3 linked regions of the Schizosaccharomyces pombe genome follow. The protein of the gene in region 1 binds, or shares a complex with, the protein of each later gene. Each region holds a gene or a part of one and is shown in the gene's direction. Other genes may lie near its edges. The genes, in order: erb1, ppp1 and ytm1.

The links.
Region 2: erb1 (region 1) and ppp1 share a complex: the UniProt entries of both Schizosaccharomyces pombe proteins name them as parts of the NOP7 complex.
Region 3: erb1 (region 1) and ytm1 share a complex: the UniProt entries of both Schizosaccharomyces pombe proteins name them as parts of the NOP7 complex.

Annotation. Positions count from the first base shown.
Region 1 is NC_003423.3:2,710,144-2,718,766, reverse strand, and holds erb1 (WD repeat/BOP1NT protein), read left to right. Parts: upstream 1-2,107; 5' UTR 2,108-2,120; coding exon 2,121-4,343; 3' UTR 4,344-4,518; downstream 4,519-8,623. Other genes in the region: nop4 (RNA-binding protein), read right to left, coding at 1-1,902; paxillin-like protein Pxl1, read right to left, coding at 4,883-6,170, 6,227-6,255; asn2 (asparagine synthase), read left to right, coding at 7,273-8,623. UniProt on the Schizosaccharomyces pombe protein: Component of the NOP7 complex, which is required for maturation of the 25S and 5.8S ribosomal RNAs and formation of the 60S ribosome.
Region 2 is NC_003423.3:3,708,509-3,716,662, reverse strand, and holds ppp1 (pescadillo-family ribosome biogenesis protein), read left to right. Parts: upstream 1-3,005; 5' UTR 3,006-3,043; coding exon 3,044-3,065; intron 3,066-3,077; exon of another isoform or gene 3,078-3,103; coding exon 3,104-3,271; exon of another isoform or gene 3,272-3,425; coding exon 3,426-5,059; 3' UTR 5,060-5,244; downstream 5,245-8,154. Other genes in the region: nucleolar protein Dnt1, read left to right, coding at 1-1,463; hom3 (aspartate kinase), read right to left, coding at 5,461-6,907, 7,279-7,391; sac11 (inositol polyphosphate phosphatase), read right to left, coding at 8,135-8,154. UniProt on the Schizosaccharomyces pombe protein: Component of the NOP7 complex, which is required for maturation of the 25S and 5.8S ribosomal RNAs and formation of the 60S ribosome.
Region 3 is NC_003424.3:5,004,847-5,012,591, reverse strand, and holds ytm1 (ribosome biogenesis protein Ytm1), read left to right. Parts: upstream 1-3,713; 5' UTR 3,714-3,734; coding exon 3,735-3,885; exon of another isoform or gene 3,886-3,993; intron 3,994-4,166; exon of another isoform or gene 4,167-4,247; coding exon 4,248-5,419; 3' UTR 5,420-5,576; downstream 5,577-7,745. Other genes in the region: nucleoporin, WD repeat Nup155, read right to left, coding at 1-515, 572-676, 728-860; pxr1 (PINX1 family ribosome biogenesis protein), read right to left, coding at 1,931-2,785; serine/threonine protein kinase Ppk16, read right to left, coding at 5,621-7,471, 7,640-7,689. UniProt on the Schizosaccharomyces pombe protein: Component of the NOP7 complex, which is required for maturation of the 25S and 5.8S ribosomal RNAs and formation of the 60S ribosome.

The DNA of each region.
Region 1 (8,623 bases):
CTCATCTTCTTGTTGCTTCAATTGTTTTGCTTTTTGCCGAAACGACTTTTCCTTTTCTTGACGTCGCTTAACAACCTGAATGTTTTCAATAGCAAATTCGACAATTAGACGACGAGGACGATCATTGTAATCGATATTTGGTAGCTGCGGCTCAGGAATTTTATGCTTTCGCGCCCACTCAATTTCTGCATCTATTATTTTTTTAACAGTAATTTCCCGTCCATTCAGCCAGCGTAAAGCCATAAGTGCATATTTATGAGAAATAAATTGCATGAAACCAAAACCCTTTGATCTTCCAGCACCAGCCTTCTCAGTTTCTACCTTAGCTTGCTTAAGTACACCACCACTTTTCCCCCTTTTAAGTCTGTGTCCCTTGTCAAGATTCTCTTCCTCTTCAGTTATGTTAGCTCGTAATCCTTTCGAAACGTCGTCCATAAATCCACGAATAGCTTGTCTACCCAGCATTGCTAAAATTTTAGGATCAATGTGTCTAGAAATATTACGAATAGAGAGACGATTAAGAGAAAGATGTAAGGTGGGATTTTTCTCCAATAATTTTTTACGTTGGGCGATAGACTGACTTCTTAACGTTTTGTCAGTCTCAGATAAACTGTTAAACAAAGGATGATCGGCAGCAATTTTACCTTCATTGAGAAGAAATAGATGACGCCTATCAACACCTTTCCCCATTTTTTGCTTTCTCTCTTGTAAACTTTTTTGATTAATGTCCGAAGCCTCTTTTCGTGTAACAGCGCTCGTAACTTTCAACAAACGACCATGTAGAAGGAAACGAGAACTTACGCTGTCAGTATCAATTCCCTCATCTACTAAAACTGATGGAAGAAAACGTTTTTCAGCCTCAGTAGGCTCTTGTGTAGGTAACTGAGAAGCCATTTCAAGACAATTTTGACAATCCTTTTCATAACGGAACTTAATAAAACCCCTTCCCAATGAACGATCAGTAGCAGGATCCTTAACTAGCTTAGCGTATGCAAGCGGCCCAAATTGACGAAAGTGATTATACAATTCTTGTTCCGTACACTCAAACAAAAGGTTGCGAACAAACACAGTGTCCTCCAATCCTTCATTGTCCCGAATTTCATGATTTATAGAATTTTTGTCAGAAGATGAATCACCAGAATCCTCTACATCGTCGACATTGCTACCCTCTTCTTCACTTTCCCCCGCCAATTCTTTACCCTCCGAATGCCCATCCACTTCCTCCTCAGATTCTGAGTCCGCAGAAGCATCTTCAGTTACAATTGAGTGTCCTTCATCAGATACAAATTCTTTGTTTTCCTCCTCAGAAGATGCATCCTTTAATGTAGTAGCTTCGAATGCATCTTTACTAACTGCCCAGTCAACGGCAATAGGACGACCATCAATTTCTGTCCCATTTAGAGAATTCATGGCTTCCTCAGCAGCTTTACGATCTTTCATCCAGACAAAGGCGAAGCCGCACATACGACCTCCACCCTTTGTAGGGATTTTAATTTCACGAACTTTACCAAACTTTGAAAAATGAGGCTCCAAATGTTGTGGCTTTTTAATTGACCAAGGAAGATTTCGGATAATTAGACGAGGTCGATTATCCTGCCTAATTGTCTTCTTAACAGCCTTATTCTGGTCTGTGTCTACCTCCGATCGTTTACGGGGAGTAGCGAAATCCAATCGAAGAATTCTTCCATGTAATTTTTTATTTTTCAACTCCTTAGCTGCTCTTTGAGCATCTTCAAGCATTGAAAATGTTACAAATCCATATCCTCGATTTTCACCTGTTTCCGGATTAGTAACCACTACTGCATGCTTGATAGGTCCGACATCGGAAAAGAAGTTTGTTAAATCATCTTGCTTTGTCTGGAAGGCAAGATTTCGCACAAATAATGTGCTATTTGAGTTCATGGTACAACGACAATTTCTTTTTTCCTAAGAACATGTACTTTAGACTTTTTCGAAATTAACGAGAAGAAATCTTCAACACTCTATATTATTTAATGACACTCGGTATATTATCATTTCGTTGCAAATCCTTATACATGTTAACGGAAGCGTACTCTACTTTGCAGAAAAAGCAAAAAGAAACTTTGAACAGGAACTAAACTACCTTGTCTTTTTCCAAGATGGAGACTGGCATGAATAGGAAGAGGTCCAGGTCCAAAAGAGCCAATTCCAACGTTGGCGTAGAGAAGGATAAGGAAAAAGAAAAGTCTAAAGGAGTTTCAAATGTGCCAAATGAGGTTGAGACTGAGAGTTCTTCACATGAACCAAGTTTTAAAAAAGATGTTGATGAGGAAATTCCATCTTTGACGGCCGAGTTATCCGAGGAAGAAGAAGGGGAATATTCTTCTGAAAGTGGACGTTCTACTCCAGAGTTATCCCCGGATGATTTTGAGGATGCTGATGATGAAGAAGAATTTGAGGAAATCGATGCTGGTTATTCTTCCGATTCCTCTACAGAAGATGTCGCTCCTGGACTATATGAATCTCCTTATGATGAGAATTTGTATATAAATTATGATATAGATGGAAAAAAGATTACCCGACCTGCGACACCTGCTGCTTTGGATTCTTTAATTGCTAGCATTGATAAGGACAAAGGATGGACTGGAATAGTTGATCCTATGACGGGAAAGCCGGTTAACTTGACTACGGAAGAGCTCGGTTTGCTAAAGCGACTTGCTCAATCCGAGATTCCTGACGAAAACTTTGATCCATATCCTGATTATGATGATTTTTTTACAAACACCGTACGGGAAACTCCTCTTTCAAGCGCTCCTGAGCCCAAACGTCGATTTGCTCCCTCTAAGCATGAACAAAAGCGTATTTTACAGCTTGCTTATGCTATCCGTAAAGGAAGAATTCTCACTTCTGAACAGCGTGCTGAACGTGAACGCGAAAGTCAAAGCAATTATGCAGATCATGATCTTTGGGCGGATGATGATCAAGCAACTGTTAACCAGAGAAAGTTGGACTATGCACCTGCACCTAAGCTTCCTCCTCCATCACACGAGGAAAGCTATAACCCTCCTGAAGAATACTTAAAACAGTCTTCGGACTTTCCTAAGAAATATAAATCCTTACGTGTTGTTCCTGCTTACTCAAACCTTATAAAGGAGAAGTTTGAACGTTGCTTGGATCTTTATTTAGCTCCCCGTGTTAGACGTACCAAACTTAATATTGATCCAGAATCGTTACTTCCTAAACTTCCTACCCCCTCTGAGCTTCGTCCATTTCCGACACGCTGCACCAATGTTTTCATCGGTCATAAAGGTCGTGTTCGTTGTCTTTCGGTCCATGTTAGCGGAAATTGGCTTGCAAGTGGAGGTGATGATGGAGTTTTACGTATTTGGGAAGTAATGACTGGTCGTTGTGTTTGGAAATGCAGCTTGGACAGTTTTGGTAATGCACATAATATTGATAGCGATGAGGATGCGGTTAATGAATCTTTAAGTCACTCTACAAAGAGCTCTATAATTCAATCACTTGCTTGGGGACCTCTTTCAGATAGTCCAGTGCTTGCTGTTGCTGTTGATGAAACAGTCTATTTCATCACACCCCCGATCTTTTCTGACGAGCAGATTGAAGCTTCTAAAGAATTGTTTACTTCTGCTCCTTACCAAGAATCTAGTGCAATATGGAGAAGAGGAGCCAAACAATCTTTACAATTACATGGTGGTATAGTCCATGCTACTGTTTCTACTCCCAGTAGCATTAAGTCCTTGTCTTGGCATCGTCGCGGTGATTACCTAGCTACTTCTTCTCCTACTTCTTCTAGCCAGGCGGTTCTTATTCATCAGTTGTCAAGAGGTGCAAGTCAATCGCCATTTTCTAAGTCTAAAGGTTCTGTGCAAGCTGTTACGTTTCACCCTACTATGCCTTATCTTCTGGTTGCTACTCAACGATATGTCCGCATATACAATCTTGTTAAGCAAGAGCTTGTAAAGACCTTGTTAACTGGTGTCAAATGGGTTTCGAGTTTAAGTGTCCATTCGAGTGGGGACCATGTCATAATAGGTTCCTATGATAAAAGGCTATGTTGGTTCGACTTAGACTTTTCTTCTAAACCATATAAAAATCTTCGATATCATTCACGTGCTCTTCGCGATGTCTCATATCATCCTTCCCTTCCACTATTTTGCTCTGGCTCTGATGATGGTGATGTTCAAGTGTTCCACGGTCGTGTTTACAGTGACCTTCTGGCTAATCCCTTGATTGTTCCTCTTAAGATTTTGCGGAATCATAAAGTGGTTGATAATGTCGGTGTTTTATCCACATGCTGGCATCCAAAAGAAGCCTGGTTATTCAGTGCAGGTGCTGGTGGAGAAATTCGGATGTGGACTTGAAAAAGGTTTGAAACGTCTTAAATATTTTTGTTTTCTTCACTTGCTTTAAAATTTAGAAAAACTCTACTTTTAAAAATAATGTTTGGTAGTGTTTACTGCAAAAGATACTTTTTCAATGCTGTATTATAGTTTTGCTAACAAGTCGAAAAGATTGTTTTCGTACTTGATTTTGGATATTTAATAGGAATATAGGGGTTTTCGAAAGTTTAAAATGCATTTGTGCAAACTGAATATGTTTTTATTTTTTATTTTTTGGTAAGTTATCTAAAGTATTTAAGTATTACGTGATATCAAAAATCGTAACCGTTGAAATTCAATAGTGCTTTTTATATATCTATAGTTACCTAATCATTAATTGCTTAATTATAAAAATACAGCAAGTTTAAATGCAAGTAAACATGCTGGACTTTGTGGATTAAATGAAATGATTTAAAATCTCCAAGATTTCCAAGACAGCTTTCCTTATAAAGCTAAAATCGATGAAAGAAGTGAAAAAATAACAAAAAAAAAAGAAAAAGAAAGTGATGAGTAAGTCTGAGTTAATCCAAATTAAACTTGACTGATATCGCCTTGCAAGGACGGCAAATAGGGGTATTTTCTATCATAAAATAACCCTCATCTCCAAGTAGGGCATTACAAGCTCCGCAGGTCCAACATTGGCTATGATATTCACCATCAGACCCTTTTACACTGATCCCCAAAATGGGTTTACGGCATTTCTTGCACTTAACAGCATACTTATTATCATAACAAGTCTGACACCAGTATAGGTCGTCACGGTAAATACAGGGTATATTTACATTAAAAACTTCAGAGCAACCAGCGCAAAAATGATGATTTTCATGAAACCAATCATTGTTGATATGGACCGCTTGGTCTTCAATTGGGGTTTTGCAGTGCTTACAGCGAGGACTGAACTGTTCATGATAGTCTAGATGACAATAAAATTTTCCCTCGCGGTAATAAAATCCAACGTGCTCTAAGTTCTGGGAACAAGTATCGCATTTGAAGCATTGAGGGTGTAATTTCTTTCCTGAAGCACTAATTATTCTGCCAGCGCGTAAAGAACCGCCGCAACTATGACAGGATTTTTCAGAATTGCCTCTATAAAGAACTGGTTTTGTAGATGTATGAGAAGATACCATTGAAGGCTTAAGTGAATCTGATTGAAATAAATTATTTGAGGACAAGTTGCTAGGCAATTGTGAAGTGGGGGTGGGCAAAGGATATAAGCTATTAGCAGGAGCAGAATGAAAAGAATGCAAAGCGGGTCTACGATTGGAAAGTTTACTGGATTTCTGTAAAGGAAGAGTAGGAAGTTGTTTGGATGCGAAGGTTTTTTGTCTGTCTTCAATGCAATCATGATCAACAAGCGGCTGTAAACCGGTATGACAATCGTAAACATTTCGTACGTCTGGATAATTAACATGTGAATTCAATTCCTCCGGCGAACTAGGAAACTCATCGTCGTCACTGTATGCAAGAGATGGCAATTCAGGTAAAAGCTCCTTTTTTAAGCTATCGAAAGTAGAAGTAGAAGCAGAGGTTAGTAGTGTTTTTTCCGGCGACGAAACATTAGAACGAGAGAGCTCGTCATCAGGCAGATCAAAACGTACACGATTTTGTTTTATTGTTGGATTCCTCTTGGACAAAGGAGATTCAGGAGTCTTCAAACTTGGTTGCGGTAATGGTGTAGCTATTCGACCTCCAGTAAAGTTAAGTGCTCCATCAGATAACCGAGAACGAACTAAATTGTTTAGCGGGGAGCCATTAGTAGAGACCGGCGAAGAAGGAGCAGCACGAGGACCAGTCAATCGACGTTCAAATCTACAAAAACGAAGTTAGATACCTAATTGGGTAATAACAATAAGACAATAGATTACCTTGGTAATTCTGGAATTGGTGAATGCATTTGCTGATATGCTTCTCAACTATCAGGACACTAATCAACGGAAAGAATTCAGGATCGTTGACAACCTTAAGAAATCAGGATAGCCAAGCTCGCAGGGTATAAATCTAGCCGCAACACTTAAAAACAAGATAAAAAATAGGAAGAGAAGGATAAGGAAGGAAAAACAAAAATCAAGCTGGGATTAACTTATAGAAAATTGTTGCCAACGTAAGGATATATATCTCAAAGAGCGGAGTCCCCCAAAAAAACTAGCTGTATTAAAAAAATGCAATTGTAAGCAAGTAGTTATTATTTAGAAAGCAGTAATATTTGCTTTATCCAAAGTGTTTTAGCTAATAAGTGTTGGCTTTGTTTAAGTGTATATTCCAAAATATAAACAAACATTCGTTGTTATAGAAACCAGCCTCATAATAGGTAACATTGTACCTTTAACGAATACTTAGAGAGTACGTATTCAATGTTTGTATACCAGCAGAAAGTAAAAAAATGCGAATATATTAGTAATTAAAGTGAATTAAGCCATTCCTATGCAGAAAATGTTCCAAACGAAATCAATGTTATTTGTTGGACAATTTTATATGTTGCGATTTCATAATATGGTACAATATCTTTTTATAATTTATTTTTTTTATACTTTGGCAGTAGATTATTGTGGAGCGCGTTATTAATGCTTACTGTATTGTTACAGCTCTTTAAATGTCATTAACTACCCCATTATGCTTTGTCAGGCATACAGCATTTCGCTTATTGTTTCATAAATAGAAACCTAATTTTGGCTTTCAAGCTACAGATTGACCTAAGAAAATTCTTTACCAGTTGTAAGTATAATTGTATAAGAAAAAATATGTAGACCCGTGAGTCTGTTCAGTGTGTAGTTACTTATAAGCGTTGCAATGTGTCGCAAAATGATATTGTATATAAAATTACGATCACACTGTACCACACAAACGTCGTTAAAGGAAAAAACACTTTTTTGACTGTAGATTTGTTAGAAGCAAAAGTGTTTGAGAATAGTTTATGTGCGGAATTCTTTTCGCCTTAGCGGAAGACAGAGATAATCTTCTTGAAAGTCCATCTTTTTCAGCTTTACGAAAAAGGATTCGGGCTAGAGGACCTGATTTTTTTGGTAAGCATAAATTGAATAGCGGACCTTGGAATTTGCACTTTGAGTCAAGCGTTTTGCATTTACGTGGCCCTTCTGATCATTTAACGCCTCAACCTCATGTTGACAGTTTTGGAAACGTTTTGTGTTGGAATGGAGAAATTTGGCAAATAAACCATAGCGATCATCACAAATTTACGCTCAATCGTAATGAAAACGACGGTGCAAAACTTTTTGAACTTTTAAACAATAACCCGGGCGACATTGAAAAAATTTTGGGAAGTATTCAAGGACCTTTTGCTTTTGTTTACTACCAAGTTCGTACAAACACATTGTGGTGGGGAAGAGATCGCTTAGGAAGAAGATCCCTTTTGTATAGTTTACGAGATAGTAATTTCGTTCTCTCAAGTGTAGGAAATTCTAGTGATTTCCGAGAAGTTGAGCCTGGGTTTCATAGTGTGCAGGTGGACTTGATCCCAAAAATTAACTTCTCTAAATCATTAATGCAACTGGAAAAAACAAACCCTCTTCCTCCTGTGGATGAGTCCTTTCTCATGGGCTCAATCTCTTCAGACACTGTGGACACATTGCATACATATCTTATCAAAGCGCTTCAAGATAGAGTTTTAACAATCCCCAAACTGTGCTCTTCAAACCTTGACTGTAGTCATTATAGCCGAGTTTGCGTTCTTTACTCTGGGGGAGTGGATTGCGGTGTATTAGCACGGCTAATGCACGACATAGTTCCCAATAACGAGTCCATCGATTTAATTAATGTGGCTTTTGAAAACCCAAGATTTACAGAGACATACCGTGACAGAGAGACGGGACTTCTTCCTGACAATTTTGATGCATACGACGTATGTCCTGATAGACAAACTGGATTACAAGGCTGGCAGGAGCTTATTTCAGTTTGCCCTGCTCGAAAATGGAATTTTGTTGCTATAAACGTTCCTTATACAGAAGTATGTGAAGCACAGGAAATAGTCAAAACACTTATCTATCCGAACGATTCAGTTATGGATCTTTCTATTGGATTAGCTTTTTATTTTGCTTCACAAGGGCGTGGTGTACTTTTACAAAACGTGGATGATATCAAACTGAAACATCAATTACCTTCCTATACTATAAAAGCTAAAGTCCTCATCAGTGGCCTGGGGGCTGATGAGCAGCTCGGTGGTTATATGCGGCACCTACGAGCGTTTGAACGGAAAGGTATGGCCGGTCTTGAAGAAGAACTGCAATTGGACATTGATCGTATTCCAC
Region 2 (8,154 bases), 1.0 Mb from region 1:
ATTTCGCTACTGTCCAAAGTGCATCTAATGGTGTTCATGCAATCAATGGGAAGCGTACGCATCCGGATGAGAGTGAAAACCCTCGAAAACTACCAAAAAAAAATTTTGTAGAGGCAATTGATGCGAACTCTCCTGGATTTGTATACAGACCAACTAGTATTCGCGATCGAGCATACTCAATTTCTTCAAATCATGATAATGAAAGTACATTAACCGAAGGGATTGCTTTAAAAGAAATTGAAAGTCCAGATAAAGATAGAAAGGCTGACGGTATAGTTAATTTATCAGTTACTCAGGAGGAAGATGATAATCACCAATCCTTCAATAGTTCCTTAACACCAAGTCAACCAACAACTTATAATCGAGCTAACTTTTTTTCAATTAACGATGCGTCTTCTGATTCATCGTCAGATGCTCCCTTGCGAACTTTATCATCGCCTTCCCGTCTTCGCATGAAAGATAATGATAGAAAATATTTAGTCGAACATTCTCCTGCCGCATTAATTAAAGAAAGTGAAACCATTGATGGAATTGATGATAAATCATTGCGTTCTTCTACTCGAGAAGTTTCTGTTGAAAGCCCAAATGAAGATTCAGTCAATGATGACAGTTCATCAGATGTATCCGATGAAAAAGAAACGGAGGCAAAGCATGAAATTAGAGCTCCTGCAATAATAGTTAGAGAAACTTCATCTCATCCATCCACTGCCGTTCCTTCCGAAAACGATACCACCGAATCGGAGAACGATACCCTTTCTGAATCCTCTACGACCTCTATATCTTCTTCCCCGTCCGAAAATTCAGATACTAGTGATGATTTAACGAAGGTTGATAGCCCGAATAAATCTCTGGTTAATGATAACGTTTCAGCTAAGCATGATAAAGAAAGTGAGAATGGTAAAAGCAAATTTCCCCCTCCTTCCCAGACCCTTGTTACTACATCGACGATATCTGCAGCGGGAAATGAACCTTCTGATGAGATTGGTTCTGAAAATGATTCAGATTCGGATTCAGACTCGGACTCCTCTGTTCCTTTAAGTCAACTACAGAAGAAATCACAACAACGAAATTCTGTATCTCACGAGATACAGAATAGAGGAACCAAAGGATCCCCGAAGGAACCTAAAGCTAAGCCTTCTACGGAAAGACCGGAGACTCATAGGACATTGTCTTACTCACGTCTTTCAGAATTGTCTAAAACGTTTTCTCCTGAAATTAGAGAACCTTCTCTTACGAAGAAGACCGCGGTCAGTATGCAGGAATCAAAAGAAGAAGGGCGTTCTGATGAATCTTCTGAAAGTGAAGAGTCAGGGAGTTCTTCAGATGAAAGCGACAATTCGGAGAAGGAAGATAGATCCAATCCTATTCCCGTTGAGAAAAGAGCAAGTACTGTACTAAATACAAAGAAAAAGAGGAAAGCCAAAAGAAACAGTGCTTTGGCTGGCTTGGCGGCCCTAGTGTAAATTTCTTGTTTTTGATTAACTCCCTTTACGCTCGTTTTTTTTTTTTTTTTCATCATAAGTCCAATAGCAAAAGAATTCTGTAATAGCGTTGTTGTGCTATCATATTGCGTATATAATAAATTTAGTTTTCTTGGCTTTCTGCATAATTTTGACTTATTAATAAAATTACATGTTAATTAGCTAGCAAAACTTGATTTAACTTTGATGCTGATAAAAAGATGTTGAAATTCTAAATGGAACGTTCTTTAATGTCCATTAAGTTGCTTCATTTCAAATCCTTTTTTGATGACTGATTGTAAAATTAAAACTGCTAGTTGTAGGAAACAGGAGACCAGACAATGACAGTAATTAGTATATTAGTAAAATTTTCCGGACTAAAATTCGTAAAAAAAAAGAACAAATTAGATTACAATATTCAAATATTTTCACGAGCTTTAGTATTTATATTATTATAGGCAGTACCTAAATTCACAAAAAATGCCATTATTTGTTGTATAGTAATTACTTTACCCTCGACATTACTCATAATGGTTCAATAGTGTTAACAAAAACTGATATTAGTAAAATCTTTCTATTCTTTAGTATGTTTATAACGAAGACCAGCTAAACATGAATTTCTTGATCCGGGCAAACTAACTGCGTATAGTTGATATTATGCAAAGTGAACGAACTTATTTATTTGTAGTAAAATAATAGCTCTATAAAAGTAAGATGATCGAAAAGAAACTTATCACACTCTTACTATAAAGTGCTTTAGCAATACGATAAATTGGGTGAATTTTCCCTTTACACAAACATATACATACGGTCTCATAAATCTCAGCGCTGATACACTATGCTATGTTATTCAACGTTGAGTAACTTTGTATGCCATAAGTTGAAGTGAAATCAGATTATTAATAACTGCGTATACCCGTCTATCTATTTAACACAAAAACCGTTGATATAAATTATTATAAAAATGATAAATGGAAGCTACAACTGAACTGAGGAGCGAGGCTCATATAATAATATTTTAGTGACAGAAAACGACGTAACCTGAATATAAGAATATCTATTACAAATTGCTATATATATCATATGCGTACTATATAATTTAATAAATCACAAGGAAGACTCATCGCAACTCTACCTGTCGTTAAAACAGATGCCTAGCTGCGTACCTGAAGATTTGTTTATTTACCGTAAAATGTAATAAACATAAATACTTTAATATATCACTACTGTATTGCTTAAGATTATAACTTACTTGAGTAGCTAACAACTAAATCGTCGAACATTGATTCACTTGGAGTAATTGTAGAAGTTTTGATAGTTATTTTAAATTACAAGACCTTTACAAACTTATCAAAAATCAATTAGTCCCTTGCCGCAAAGATTTATCTCAAAAGTACGGAAAAACACAAATATAGCGAAATTTAACGTAAAATAGTATAAGAAAATTTAGCGCTGTGAGATAATACTACCATCTAACACCATTTACGCAGTGCAGAGAGCTAAGCTAGTCTGTATGAAGGATTTTGGATTTTGCAAAATTCTTCCAACACCCTCTTTCTGCAAAAAGCCATCAAATTGAAGAAATGGCGAGGGTAAAACAGAAAGGTATGTAGCTTGTAAAAAAATTTTCTAATTGAAAACAGGGAAAGCAGGTGCAGCTCGTATCTACATTACGAGAAATCAAGCGCTTAAGAAGCTTCAGCTCACTCTTGCTGATTTTCGTCGTATTTGTATTTTAAAGGGTGTTTATCCTCGTGAGCCAAAAAATAAGAAAAAAGCAAATAAAGGCTCCACTGCTCCAGTCACTTTCTGTAAGTCTAATAGCATCAATTTTTACCGGAATCATAGCTATCTGAACATGGACGTTTGGTATAAAAAGCATTTTCCGAATGGTCAATTTTATCATGGGCTAGTCTTTTTTTGATGAACTAAAAGAATGAAATTATGTACTAATAAATATAATAGATTATACTAAGGATATCCAGTATTTGTTACATGAGCCTATTGTACAGAAGTTTCGCGAGTACAAAGTGTTCGCTCGCAAGCTTAGCAAAGCATTGGGAAAAGGGGAATTAGAAACTGCTAAACGTTTAGAGGCCAGAAAACCCACTTATTCTTTGGATCATATCATTAAAGAGCGTTACCCAACCTTCCATGATGCCTTGAAAGATATTGATGATGCTCTTAGTATGCTGTTCTTATTTTCAACTATGCCTGTTACCGACAAGATTGGTGCCGCTACTGTCGCTAATTGTGAAAGATTATGTGCTGAATTTCAACACTATGTAATTCGGTCAAATTCCCTTCGTAAAGCTTTCCTCTCTATTAAAGGAATTTATTATCAGGCCGAGATTTTTGGTGAGCAAATCACCTGGATTGTTCCCTACAAATTTGCTCAATCTGTTCCTACCGATGTTGATTTTCGTATCATGCACACTTTTTTGGAATTTTATCAAGCACTTATGGGGTTTGTAAATTTCAAGTTATATAATACCTTGGGACTTCGTTATCCCCCTAAGATTGATGTTGCTAAAAGCGAATCTGCCGCTGGTTTAGCAGCTTATGAGTTAGAGGAGTCTTCTTCCTTACCCGCTATCGTCCATGGTAATAACAAAAATGCTCGTAAGAATATTGCTACTTTAAAAAGTAAAATAAGAGATATTGTGAATAGTGATGCGAACGTCGTTGAGCAGTCGGAAAAAACTACTGAGGATGCTGATGAGGAACCTGAAACGGAGGAAAACTTAGATGAGTTTAAACCAGCTGATGGTGCAGATAATGAGGATTCCAAAAGCCTAGTATCACATATTTCATCATCTAATACCTCGTTGTTTTCTAATTTTACTTTTTTCCTTTCTCGTGAAGTCCCCCGTTTTTCTCTGGAATTTGTGATTCGTGCCTTTGGTGGTAAAGTTGGATGGGATCCAATTCTCGGATCAGGTTCTCCATTTTCAGAATCTGATCCTGTGATTACTCATCATATATGTGATCGTCCTCATATTTCACAGAAGTACGAAGGTAGGATATATATTCAACCACAATGGGTATACGACTCTATCAACAAAGGAATCTTGGAAAGGACAGACTTGTATGCCTGTGGCGCTACGCTCCCTCCTCATCTTAGTCCATTTGTTAAAGTAGGTGAAAATGACTACGATCCTGAAGCTGAACTTTCTGCTGAAGAGAACGACGATGTTTCCGAAGCTCTTGATGATAATATTTCTGGCGAAGCAGTGCCCATAAGTAAGAAGAATGACGAGCCTGAAAATGTTGAACAAATTGATGACGCTGAAGAGGAAGACTTAGAACATCAACGAGAGCTGGAGGCAGAAGCAGGCGGTGTCGCTTATTCTGAATATGTTAAACAGAATTCTAAGTCCGCGAAAAAGACTAAGAAGCGTCAACGTGATACTTTGACTGCAGAAGAAAAAGAAGAAAAAGAGGCAAAGGAGTTATCCAAAATGATGATGAGTAATAAACAGAGAAAGCTTTACAGTAAGTTGAAAAACGAAAATAGCAAAAACGAAAACTACAACAATGCGCTTCGCAATCGGAAGAGGGATATTGAAAAGAGGAAAAAATTAAAGGTTGAAAACTAGGTTTAATAAACAGTAATCATAGTAATAGATTATTTTGGGTCATTTACTTTTTGTTTCTTAAAATGAGTTCATTGTATTTTACTGTATCCATGGATTAGGTTCGTGTTCAATTTAATTGAAGCTGATCGTTTTTATATAATAAATACACTTTTGCTTAACATTTTTTCGACTGGGAGATAAAGAAGATGAATATCAATTTTTGAGATATATTATAAAATATTAATTTTATGTAGTCAATATTTATTTATAAACGTACAAATAATAATAATGAGTAAAATAAAACTCACGGTAATTTTAAAATAGAGAATGTAAAATATTTAAAGACAAAAAGAACAAAAAAATGAAGGCAAGACAACACTTTTTTTTTATTTTTTAAATTGACTTTCAAGGTTACAGTACGTTTAAGCACTGTAAAGCCAAGGCTTTTCAACCAACATCGAGGCCTGTGACGGAACTTCATGTAAAGCTAAGGGTTCAAGCAATTCTTTATGAATAACGTTAAGAGCCTTTACAGCCATTTTCTCGTCAATAACGCATGAAATGTTGATTTCACTAGCACCTTGACTAATCATCTCAATGTTGATTTGGGCTTCAGCAAGTTTGCAAAACATACGACCAGCGTAACCGGTAGTGTTTCTCATGTGCTTACCAACAAGAGATAGAATAGCTAAACCATGGAGAATATCAAGCGTTCCCAATCGACGCAATTCAACGAATGCCTCATGCATATTACCGTCATCAGACTCTTCGTAAAGCGCCATTGAGACGTGAACTTCTGAAGTAGTAATCAAGTCAACAGCCAATTTGTACTTATCAAGAATGGCAAATATGGAAGCTAAGAAACCATGAGCAGATATTTTACGATTCGATTGAATATTAATAACCATAATGGTGTCTTTAATAGTAACCGCGGTAGCGCCTTTGTTAGCGAGGCTAGCAGAAATATCATCGGGCATAATTTTAGGAGGATGAGGAGGTGTAGCACTACCATGACGTGAAATTGTATCAGGAAAAATAACAGTTCCCTTTCCACGTGGGTTGCCAACGTTTTTAATTCGGATAGGAATACGAGCGTGAACAACCTGGGACATAGTGAAGGGATGGATGACTTCACTACCGTAATAAGTAAGTTCAGCAGCTTCTTCAGGTGTGATGAGAGGAAGAAGTCGAGCAGTTGGAACCTTACGGGGATCAGCTGTGAAAATGCCATCAACTTCCTTCCATATTTGAAGTTCGTCAGCATTAAGACCAACAGCTAATAAAGCAGCGCAAAAATCGGTGTAACCACGGCCAATTTGCGACAAAAGACCACCCGGTACCATACCAAAAAAGCCAGTAACGACAGGTACTTTATTTCCAACAGCGGTAACTTTACTAGCAAGTTGGGAAGCAAGATATGCGTAAAAGGATGCATCAAGATTCCTCCACTCTCTTTGCTCGTCAATTATATGACTCATATCAATAAACTCAGAATCGATCCCTTGATCTTTCAAAACTGCCGCCATAAATCGGCAACTTAAACGCTCCCCCATGCCAATCACGAGATCACGAGTACGAGGAGAAACCTCGGAAAGAACTCTAATAGCATTTAGGTACTGTTCCAATTCAACGCAGTCTGCATGAAAAGCATCAATAAGTTCGTCTTGAATGCCAACATCCTGGATGAAATCACGAGCAGCTTGAACATGATCAGTTTCAATAATACGAACCAAATCATGCACAGAACCTACAGCAGGTCGCAATGCTGCTTCTGTTGCTCTAATAAGTCTAGTAGTAGTGCCTTCTGCTTTGGTATCTGTGCTGCGAGCAGAGCATACCAATGCTACGCGCTTAGTACTTAGGTATTCCCTAAATAAATTATTTAGTAATTTGTAATTTAACGGTCTAAAATGGTCGACAGTTTGTAGAGGAGTAAGCATTTAAATATATAAGTCTCATATCGATAGAAAGTGGAAAGAGTAACCAAAACCTCTTTTATCTCCTTTCTCTCATTTTGAATTCGATTCAAAAAAACCTAATTAGCCAATATTCCCAAGCATAATTCAACACATGAAATATCTTATTTTTAAATAATTTCGGGCATTCTAGCATGAAAACTCCAATCTAACGCACATTCAGGAAAAAGTTCTCTTGACTTCTTAAATATTTTTGAACCTGCTAGATTCAGACGATGACCATACTCCTCGAACCATCATATAAACTGTAAACAAAATACTCACTTTGCAACATCAACAGCAATTTTAATTGGGAACTTTCCAACACTGGTTCCACCGAATTTTTGAACAACCCACCCTTTGCTAGGATCGTTTTCTATATTCTTTGCAATTGACATGGTCAATGTTTTAGTTGGCACTGCTCAAGTGTGGAATTCAACGTTTCCGATATTTAGATCAATTCACAGATGAAAATCTCGATAGCGTTGCCACCTTCTATTTTGCAATTTTTTTTACAATTGCGTTAATTTGTTTTGCGTTGGGAATTTGCATGATACTTGGTTGCTTCACTATATTTACCATTTAATTTTAAATCAGATATGCATTGCAATGAGTATGTTAATATGAAGACTTTGAACGCTGAGTTGTCGGCGTTTTGTTGATTTGAAGGATACTTTATAGAAGATGAATGTGAATACATTAGATTATTTTACAAAAGTCTATATTTGAATCGTATGCTTATTGTCGACAAATAATGATTTCAAATTATATATCGCCCGAATTGTAAAGTTACTATTAACCTTAGTCTAAACTTGCTGCAGCGCTACAAACCCAAAACAGTATATATTTAATGACTGCATAAGCTGTCCGCGTAACACTTTATGTTGTCTAGGAATAAATTTCAGTGTACGGGCATAAGTTTGTACATTGTTATTACTCAAACAAAAGGATTTCACTTCTGTAGCACGCAAAGGAAAATAATGCTTTAATAAATGTGTTATTACGATAAATAATCGTATATATTTCATCCGATGAAAATCCTTACCATCGACAAATCAAGTACCCAAAGGTTACAAGAGTACAACTATCAACGATAAGTATATACAAGGAAACTCATAGTTTAACATAAGAATATCAGTATTCAAACTTTATGCTTCGAAG
Region 3 (7,745 bases), on another chromosome or scaffold:
AATCTGCTTGATGCCATCACCATGAGTACCAAAAGAAAAGAAAGAAGGAATAAAATTATCAAAAACAGAACCGGTAATATTAATTTTGCTGCATCTACGAGAAAACCAGCCTTCTTCGAGTTGGTAAGAAAATTCATACAAATTGGGATCTTTGTTTCCGGAAAAAAAAATACGTCCATCCTCCGAAGAAACGATACAATTAACATTAATCCCTTGAACAGATATTTGGATACCAGTTGAGAAGAAGGATAATTCACCAGTTTTCTCATCGATTGTAACACCTAATAAGAGCATTTCTTGTGAAGTTGCTATTACGAGTAAATGCTGGATTTCCGAGACGAAAACATTGGCCTTTGGTCTCACTAACTTTACATTGACAATGGTATGAGATAAATCTTCGTAAGCTTGAAAGTTTTGACCCGAAAGATAATCCCATAAGAACAAACGGTTGTCCACAGTTATCCAAGCACGTTGGATTTCAGCAAAAAGCCCCATTTGAGTAAAACATTCCGTACCTAAACCGATGATAAGTTAGAAAAGTTACCAAGGCGCATAAAGTTCGTTTACTTACGATTGTATTGTTCAAATATACGGTCAGGAATATTTACAACAGAACGAAGGTAAAACGGCTTCCAACCACTCAGAACTTGTGATATGTATTCTGGAGCGTGTACTTCTAAAAAAAAATAATTAGCCTTCAGAATTGATCAAACCTGCTTCAACATACGACCAATAATGTCTCCTAACTCTGGCAATTTTAAATCACGCTCCGTTGCAGCTTCAATCGCAGCATAGCCACGTGATAGAAGTTCATAAATACCATTTTCAGTCGATGAAAATGATGGATCATTGATGTCCATTTTCCCAAGCTCCAAATGAAGGACAGCTGGAAATGTTGGCTGCTGGTGCGTTTCGACCAGGCAAGGTATTCGTTGGTACAAACACGTATGCCAGAAGTTAGTTGCTTGAAGTTTTCATCTAGCAAGTTTTAGAAACATAAAACAATAGGAAAAATACTAAAAGACACATTTAAAAATACGATGTTCCCACTTCACTCAGTTATTCTTTTTGAGTAGCACTATAAATTCTCTGAAGCGCCGTAGCAGTTTGATATTAACCATATACTTCAACAATGAGTTTATAAGAACAACGCAATAATATTGCGGTTGAAATTGTAATTGTTAATCATGTGTAAGTGCAATACATAATTTAAGAAAAAAGACAGTTGCGAAGATGATTTCTTGATAGGGACAACAGATTTAATTATGTTGAAAAAAAATCGGGAAAAGATAGTAGATATATATTGCTGAGCATTACTGTGATTTTTCTGTATTCACATACTATTCTATTTTTACTGAACTATACTAACTTTCTCTAGCAGGAGATCTACTTTTAAATTGGTGGTTGTACTAGCTCGAGTAGTTTTCTTTTTAGACTTCCTTTTGTATGGAAACGTGCAATTTAATGCATGTGAATATAACCAGAGTTTTAGTGATGGAGGAATAGCCTTCCGATCTCCATAGCTTAATAGAAATGTTATTTTTAACTAATTCTTTGTATGGCATATGAGATACTTCGATTGGTATGTGTGTAAATGATTATCGTAACTTTAATGAATGTTTAGTAATGTAAAACTTTCAGGATGAAGTCGTCAATATTTTTACCTAAAATCCCGTATTACACAAACCAGAGTCATAAAATACGAACGCGATTACTCTCAATAGCTGATTACAATACGACATAAGTAGCTTTTCGAAATTACAAGCCCGAATCCAGCAATTTCTTCCAAAATCAACTAAATATTACCTTCTATTAAGACATAGATTAAAAAACCGACAAACCCTTCCTCTTAAAGTATTGTATACCCATAACTTCTAAGACTCGTTTATTATATTCCGCAAGTTAGAAAAATAGCAAAAGAAGTCACTTCCTAACCTTTAATACCTAAAATCTCCCTTAAAGCAACTGGGTCGCTTACTGCTGCTCGCTTTTGTGCCAAAAATTTTCTTCTGGTATGGAAATGAATGCTAGCGGGTCGGTTGCCTTCTTTGACCTTCTCGACAGAGGAAGTGGACTCTGGTTTATCCTTTAATTTTATTTTCTTTTTCTTTTTCTCTTCTTTGTCGCTTGAGCCTGATTTTCTCTTTTTTGAAGAACTTTCCTTATCCTTTTTCTTGTGCTCTTTTTTCTTCTTCTTCGTTATTTTTTCCAACTTTTTAGGATCAAGAGCCGAACCAGTAGAGGTCTTTTTCTTACTTTTCTTCTTAGAAGAGTGCTTCTTTCTTTTTTCACGCTTAGCTTCATCGGATGAAGACGCATCTTCACATACACGATCCTCATCCTCCTCTGCTTTTTGCATCCATTCAGAAAATTCACTAGTAAACGTCCCACCCAAAACAAATCGTCTGGATAGCTCAAGTGATTTTAAACCCTTCTCATTCGCACTCTGTCTCTCGTATGTTAGTTGCTGCACCTTTGCTTTCTCAGCATAGACACCATACGCAGACTCATCGCCGTTAAGTCGACCAAAAATAGCGTTGAATTCACCTAAACCGCTCCATTCAAGATCGTTAGTTGCTTTGGCTCCAATTCCCAGTGTATCATCTTTTAGGCTGACCTTGATGTTATGAATGCGACCATGTTGCTTTTCACCCAAGCCATTACCATTCACCCAACCGTAGGAGGATAAAAGCTTAAATCCCAATCTATTTGTATCTTTTGCCCATTTAGAATTCCGAGGATCCACACCAATCTGTTGTTTCTTTTTTACACCAGCCAAACCCATGATGTCCTGTTAATCTTCAATAAAATTTTTTTTTTATCGACGATCAATATGTGAGAGGACAAAAAAGAATGAGAATAAATTATAAGAAGTAATCAATTGTAAGAAATAATTAAAATTGCGAACAGCGCAAAGTAATATACATAAAAATATGTAGCAGCCTGAGTCCTAAAATCCCACCAAATCCTAGAACCGATGAATTCTTTCCCAAAATAAAACCTTTTTCGAGGATAGAATCAATTGAGTCTCCTCTTCTTTTATAAAAATATAAACACACGATAAATCAACGATCTAAACAAAGTCTTCTCGCTAATTGAGAAACTCTCCAAAATTTCTCGAGTATTGCACTCAAATTGGTGAAAAAGGATAAATTGATAGATCTTTATTAAGTTTTAAAAAAGAAAAGTACTGGTTCTTGGAATTTCTTGAAAAGTGGTGGGCTCAAGAAGGGAATATATGCAGTTGGTAAACCGGCTATGTGTTAAAAGCGCTATAGATGCTTTCAAAGGCATAATTGAAATCTTCTTTCAAATAACGTGAAAGCATTCCAAAAAATTACAATGTTATAATGAGCTGTAAATAATACCGGTCAAATCATCATTTAAGTCGTTTTAAAAGAAGTATTTCAAAAGACGTTAAATCTTACAATTCGAGCATACTCTGGAAAAAAATAAGCTTTAAAAAAGTTTATCCTTTTACTTTTAAAGCATACTTTAAATCTTCTAATATTATTTTTGTTATTCTTAGATTTTGTTCAACTGTTACTTTTCTACTCAAAAAAAAAAGCTGAATTAGGACCGCTATCGATGAATACGAATTGGGTTGATTAAACTTGAAAATTCTTAAAAAACAGTCTCGTAACATCTTGATCAATTCAGCCAAAAGTCATTATCCTCATTTTTTTGGTACTGGAAATTTTGATCTTTTCGACACTCCTTCCACCAACAACAGAATGGATGCCCAAAGCGCTCCTTCAGGCCAAGTTCAAGTCCGTTTTACTACTAGAAATGAGGATTTAGCTGTTGGTGACACGCCGATTTTTGTTCCTACATCTTTAAAGCGGTACGGCTTATCTCAAATTGTAAATCATCTTCTAAAAACAGGTATGTTTTCAGTTAACACATACTGGGTCAAAGCAGGAGAAAAGTCGCATAATTCAACCAACTTGAAGAAAATTTGAAGCAATAGAATAGCTGGTCTCATGCAAGGCCCAATTACTATAAAACTGTGTAGAAGCTGAAATTTGTTGGCGAGAATCAAATGGGGGCTTCTCGAATCTAAGAGTTACTCTAGTGTTCTTTTTCACGCCTTTCTTAAAATTTTGTAAAATTCTTGAAGATGCATTACTAAAAGCCCTTTTTTTATTTTTTTGTCTCTTTTACCTTTCATCCTCGTTTTGCTTCATTGCTATACAATTTTGCGATTTTTTAGTTAATTTAATTTATTTCCTTACTAACTTTACTAGAAAAGCCAACACCCTTTGATTTTTTGGTTCAGGGTCAGCTGTTAAAAACTACTCTCGATGAGTACATAGTTCAAAACGGATTGTCTACGGAGTCGATTCTTGATATTGAATATATCCAATCTACATTACCACCTGCATATTTAGCTTCTTTCTCTCATGACGATTGGATTTCTGGTATTCAACTAACCTCAGATACCATTCTTACTTCTTCATACGATGGGATAGCTCGTGTTTGGGATAAAAGTGGTGAAATAAAATTTCAATCAACTGGATGTGGATCATCTTTAAAAAGTGCATCCTGGCATATACCTAATCAAAGTTTTCTCACTGCTTCACTTGATCAAAAAATTTTTCATTGGGTGATCGAAGAGCCAGAATCAATGTTGGATGCTGAAAAGAAAAGCTCCGGTATCCTTCAAACTCTTTTCGTAGGGCACAAGGATATAGTTGAGCGCGTACGATCCTTAGAATCTTCAAGCGTTTTTATTTCTGCTTCTGCGGATAATACTGTCGGAATTTGGGATTTTGAAAGGTCTCCTGAGACTACCCTCGAGTCCTTTTCCTCGTCTATATCTAAAAAGAGACGTCGCAAAAATGCAGAATTCACACCTCAAGCTGGGGCTCGCTCTCCGCTGATCCTTTGTGAGGGGCATACTGGACCGGTGATGGATATCGTCTTTTCTGATGATCCAAGTGTTGCATATTCCGTAGGCCAAGATCACACAATTAAGACTTGGGATCTCATTACTGGGCAAAATGTTGATTCCAAGATAACCAAAGCTCCTCTTTTATGCGTGGAAAAACTTACTGACCTACACTTAGTCATTTGTGGTTCCTCTGCGCGACACATTGTTGTTCACGACCCTCGAGCGGGAAGCGACAAAATTGTGAGTCATACTTTATCCGGCCACAAGAATTTAGTTTCCGGATTATCGGCAAGCCCAGAAAATCCCTATATGTTTGCATCCGTCTCTCACGATAACACTTGTCGTGTTTGGGATGTCCGTGCTACATCCGGCAGTATTTACACAATTTCTAGAGCAGAAAAAACAGGCTCTCAGTGGGATAAACTTTTCGCTGTTGATTGGAATAAATCCATTGGTATTGTTACGGGAGGTACTGACAAACAACTTCAAATCAATCAATCCTCATCCTTTGGAAAAAGCGAATGAAAAAAGATGTAGCATAAAAAAAATTGACAGATTATGATTTAGTGTGGTACAAGCGGGATAAGTTAAGGAACAAGGTCATTACTACTAGAGATTAAAAGTTTGATTAAATTATTTAAGAGAACACTTTATTAAAGCAAAATAAGTTAATAATTCAAATTATACACACCACGTAGCTTAGTAATCGTGTAATAAACTTAAGCTTCAGAGCAAGTCTGTGAAATGTTTTGAAGAGTCTGAAAAACTGGTTTCTTCCGGCTCCTCTTCCTCTTTGACTGAGCTTTGATTAAACATCAGAGAGGAAGATGATTGCGGGTTTTTTCTACCAGAACCAACTGTAAAAATTGCAGTAGCATTTATACGAGTGTTAAATGGCTCTCCGGAAGGAAAATGGAAACTTTTGTGCAATCGTTCAAAAGGAGAATGAAAAGGTGTTTGCCTTTGAACGGTCGAACTGGAAGGTTTAGATGAAATAATAGAAATTAAAGAATTTGAAGATGCAGAAGAGACGTTTGAATAGGATCTAGTACGGGATGAATTCCTCGAAGAAGCAACGGAAGAACGCCCAGACAAGCTGCGTATGGGAGTTCGTGATCGTCGAGTCGGCTGGGGAGATATGACAGTATTTTGCAGAGGAGAAGGTGGAATATCAATATTAATTGAGAGGTTCGAACTTTTAGAAGGGCTATTTTGAGAGTTCGAGGGGAAGGTAAAGTCTTTATTACCGTCGAGGTTTACCGTTTTTAAAAGAGGAGGAGTGAATGGTGTGTTTTGCTCACCTGTATCAACGTGCGTTGTTTGAGGAAGATTTGAGTGTCTTCTTCCAAAACTGTTAATCGAAGGAAACACGGTAAGGTTCTCAACTGAATTGTCTAAAGACTCAGATAAATTATCGGAATCAAAATTTTCTTGAGTTAAATAGTTTTCAGCCGAAGGACTAGGTGTTCTTGGTCTAATTGCTGATGAGCTTAACGTATCAGCAGTATGCTTTTGTTTAGGATCGAATAACCAACTACGAAATGTAGAAAGCAAAGAATTACTTGAATCTGACGATGTATGCCGACTTTTTAAAGAATCCTGATTGTTGGACATAACAGAAACTTGAGCGGTTTTTAATGATGGAGTTGCTGGAGCTATGTGTACAGCCGAAGATGAACCTTTATGTAAATGAAACAAACCTTTCTTTTTTTTGTTTTCCTTACGCATTTCTTTTTCTAGTAATAAAAGCCACCATCCATAGAACATGTCACAGCGCTGTTGTGAGATGCTGGCATTAAGTTGATCCATGTCAACACCAACAAATTCAAGCCTTTTACGAACTTTTTCCTCTGCTTTCGAGGAAGGCCTTGGGTCTCGAATAGAAGATGAATGATATCCATTTTCCTTGAAATAGGGGTGAGAGATGATTTGATCGATAGAGGGTCGAAGTCGGTAATCCTTGCAAAGGAGGGATTTCAACAAGCTTGAAGAGTTTTTGGAGAGTGTTTCAGGATATTGAGGACATTCATTGATAATTTTTTGCTCAGTTAAAGATACATCGTCCTCGTCGAACGGGAGCCTTCCTATTAAGAGAGCGTACATAATTATACCCAGAGACCATATATCAACGCATTCACCAATATATTTATGGCCCTGTACTAGCTCCGGAGCACAATAAGCAACTGTACCACAACGTGTGTTCATAAATGTTCTACGGGAACAATCAGAATCTCTAGAAAACCCAAAGTCTCCAAGCTTAACATTGTAGGCTTTATCTAGAAAAATATTTTCGAGTTTAAGGTCACGGTGAACACAGCCTTGTCTATGTAAATACTGAATAGCACAGCATAGCTGCCACATGATACGGCAAGTGGTCTTTTCATCCAGCCTTTTTTCTCTCGCTACCCAGTCATACAATTCACCATTTGGACAATACTCCATGGCAAGATAAATTCGGTCTTCGGTGCATACTACTTCATAAAGCCTCGTGATGTTTGGATGAAGAAGACGCCGATGATGATGAATTTCTCGAGCAAGGATAATCGCTTGTTTCCTGCAAGATGATTTCAGGACAACCTTTAATAAAAATGTTAGCAAGGTACAATCAATTTATTGATGAATAAAACGTTTATCATTCTCATAATGTAATCAACCGACTTTGGAACGGTCAATATTCGCAATTTACGAGCCGTTTATTCTTCTTTTTATAACTTAGAGACATAGTAATCTTTGAATAACCCATACCTTTGTATTTGTCAGTAAATGAGCTGCCAAATAAACTTTTCCAAAGCTGCCTACAACCCATGCTTGTTAGATAGCCGTCCAGTATTGAGCGTTCACAATAACACAA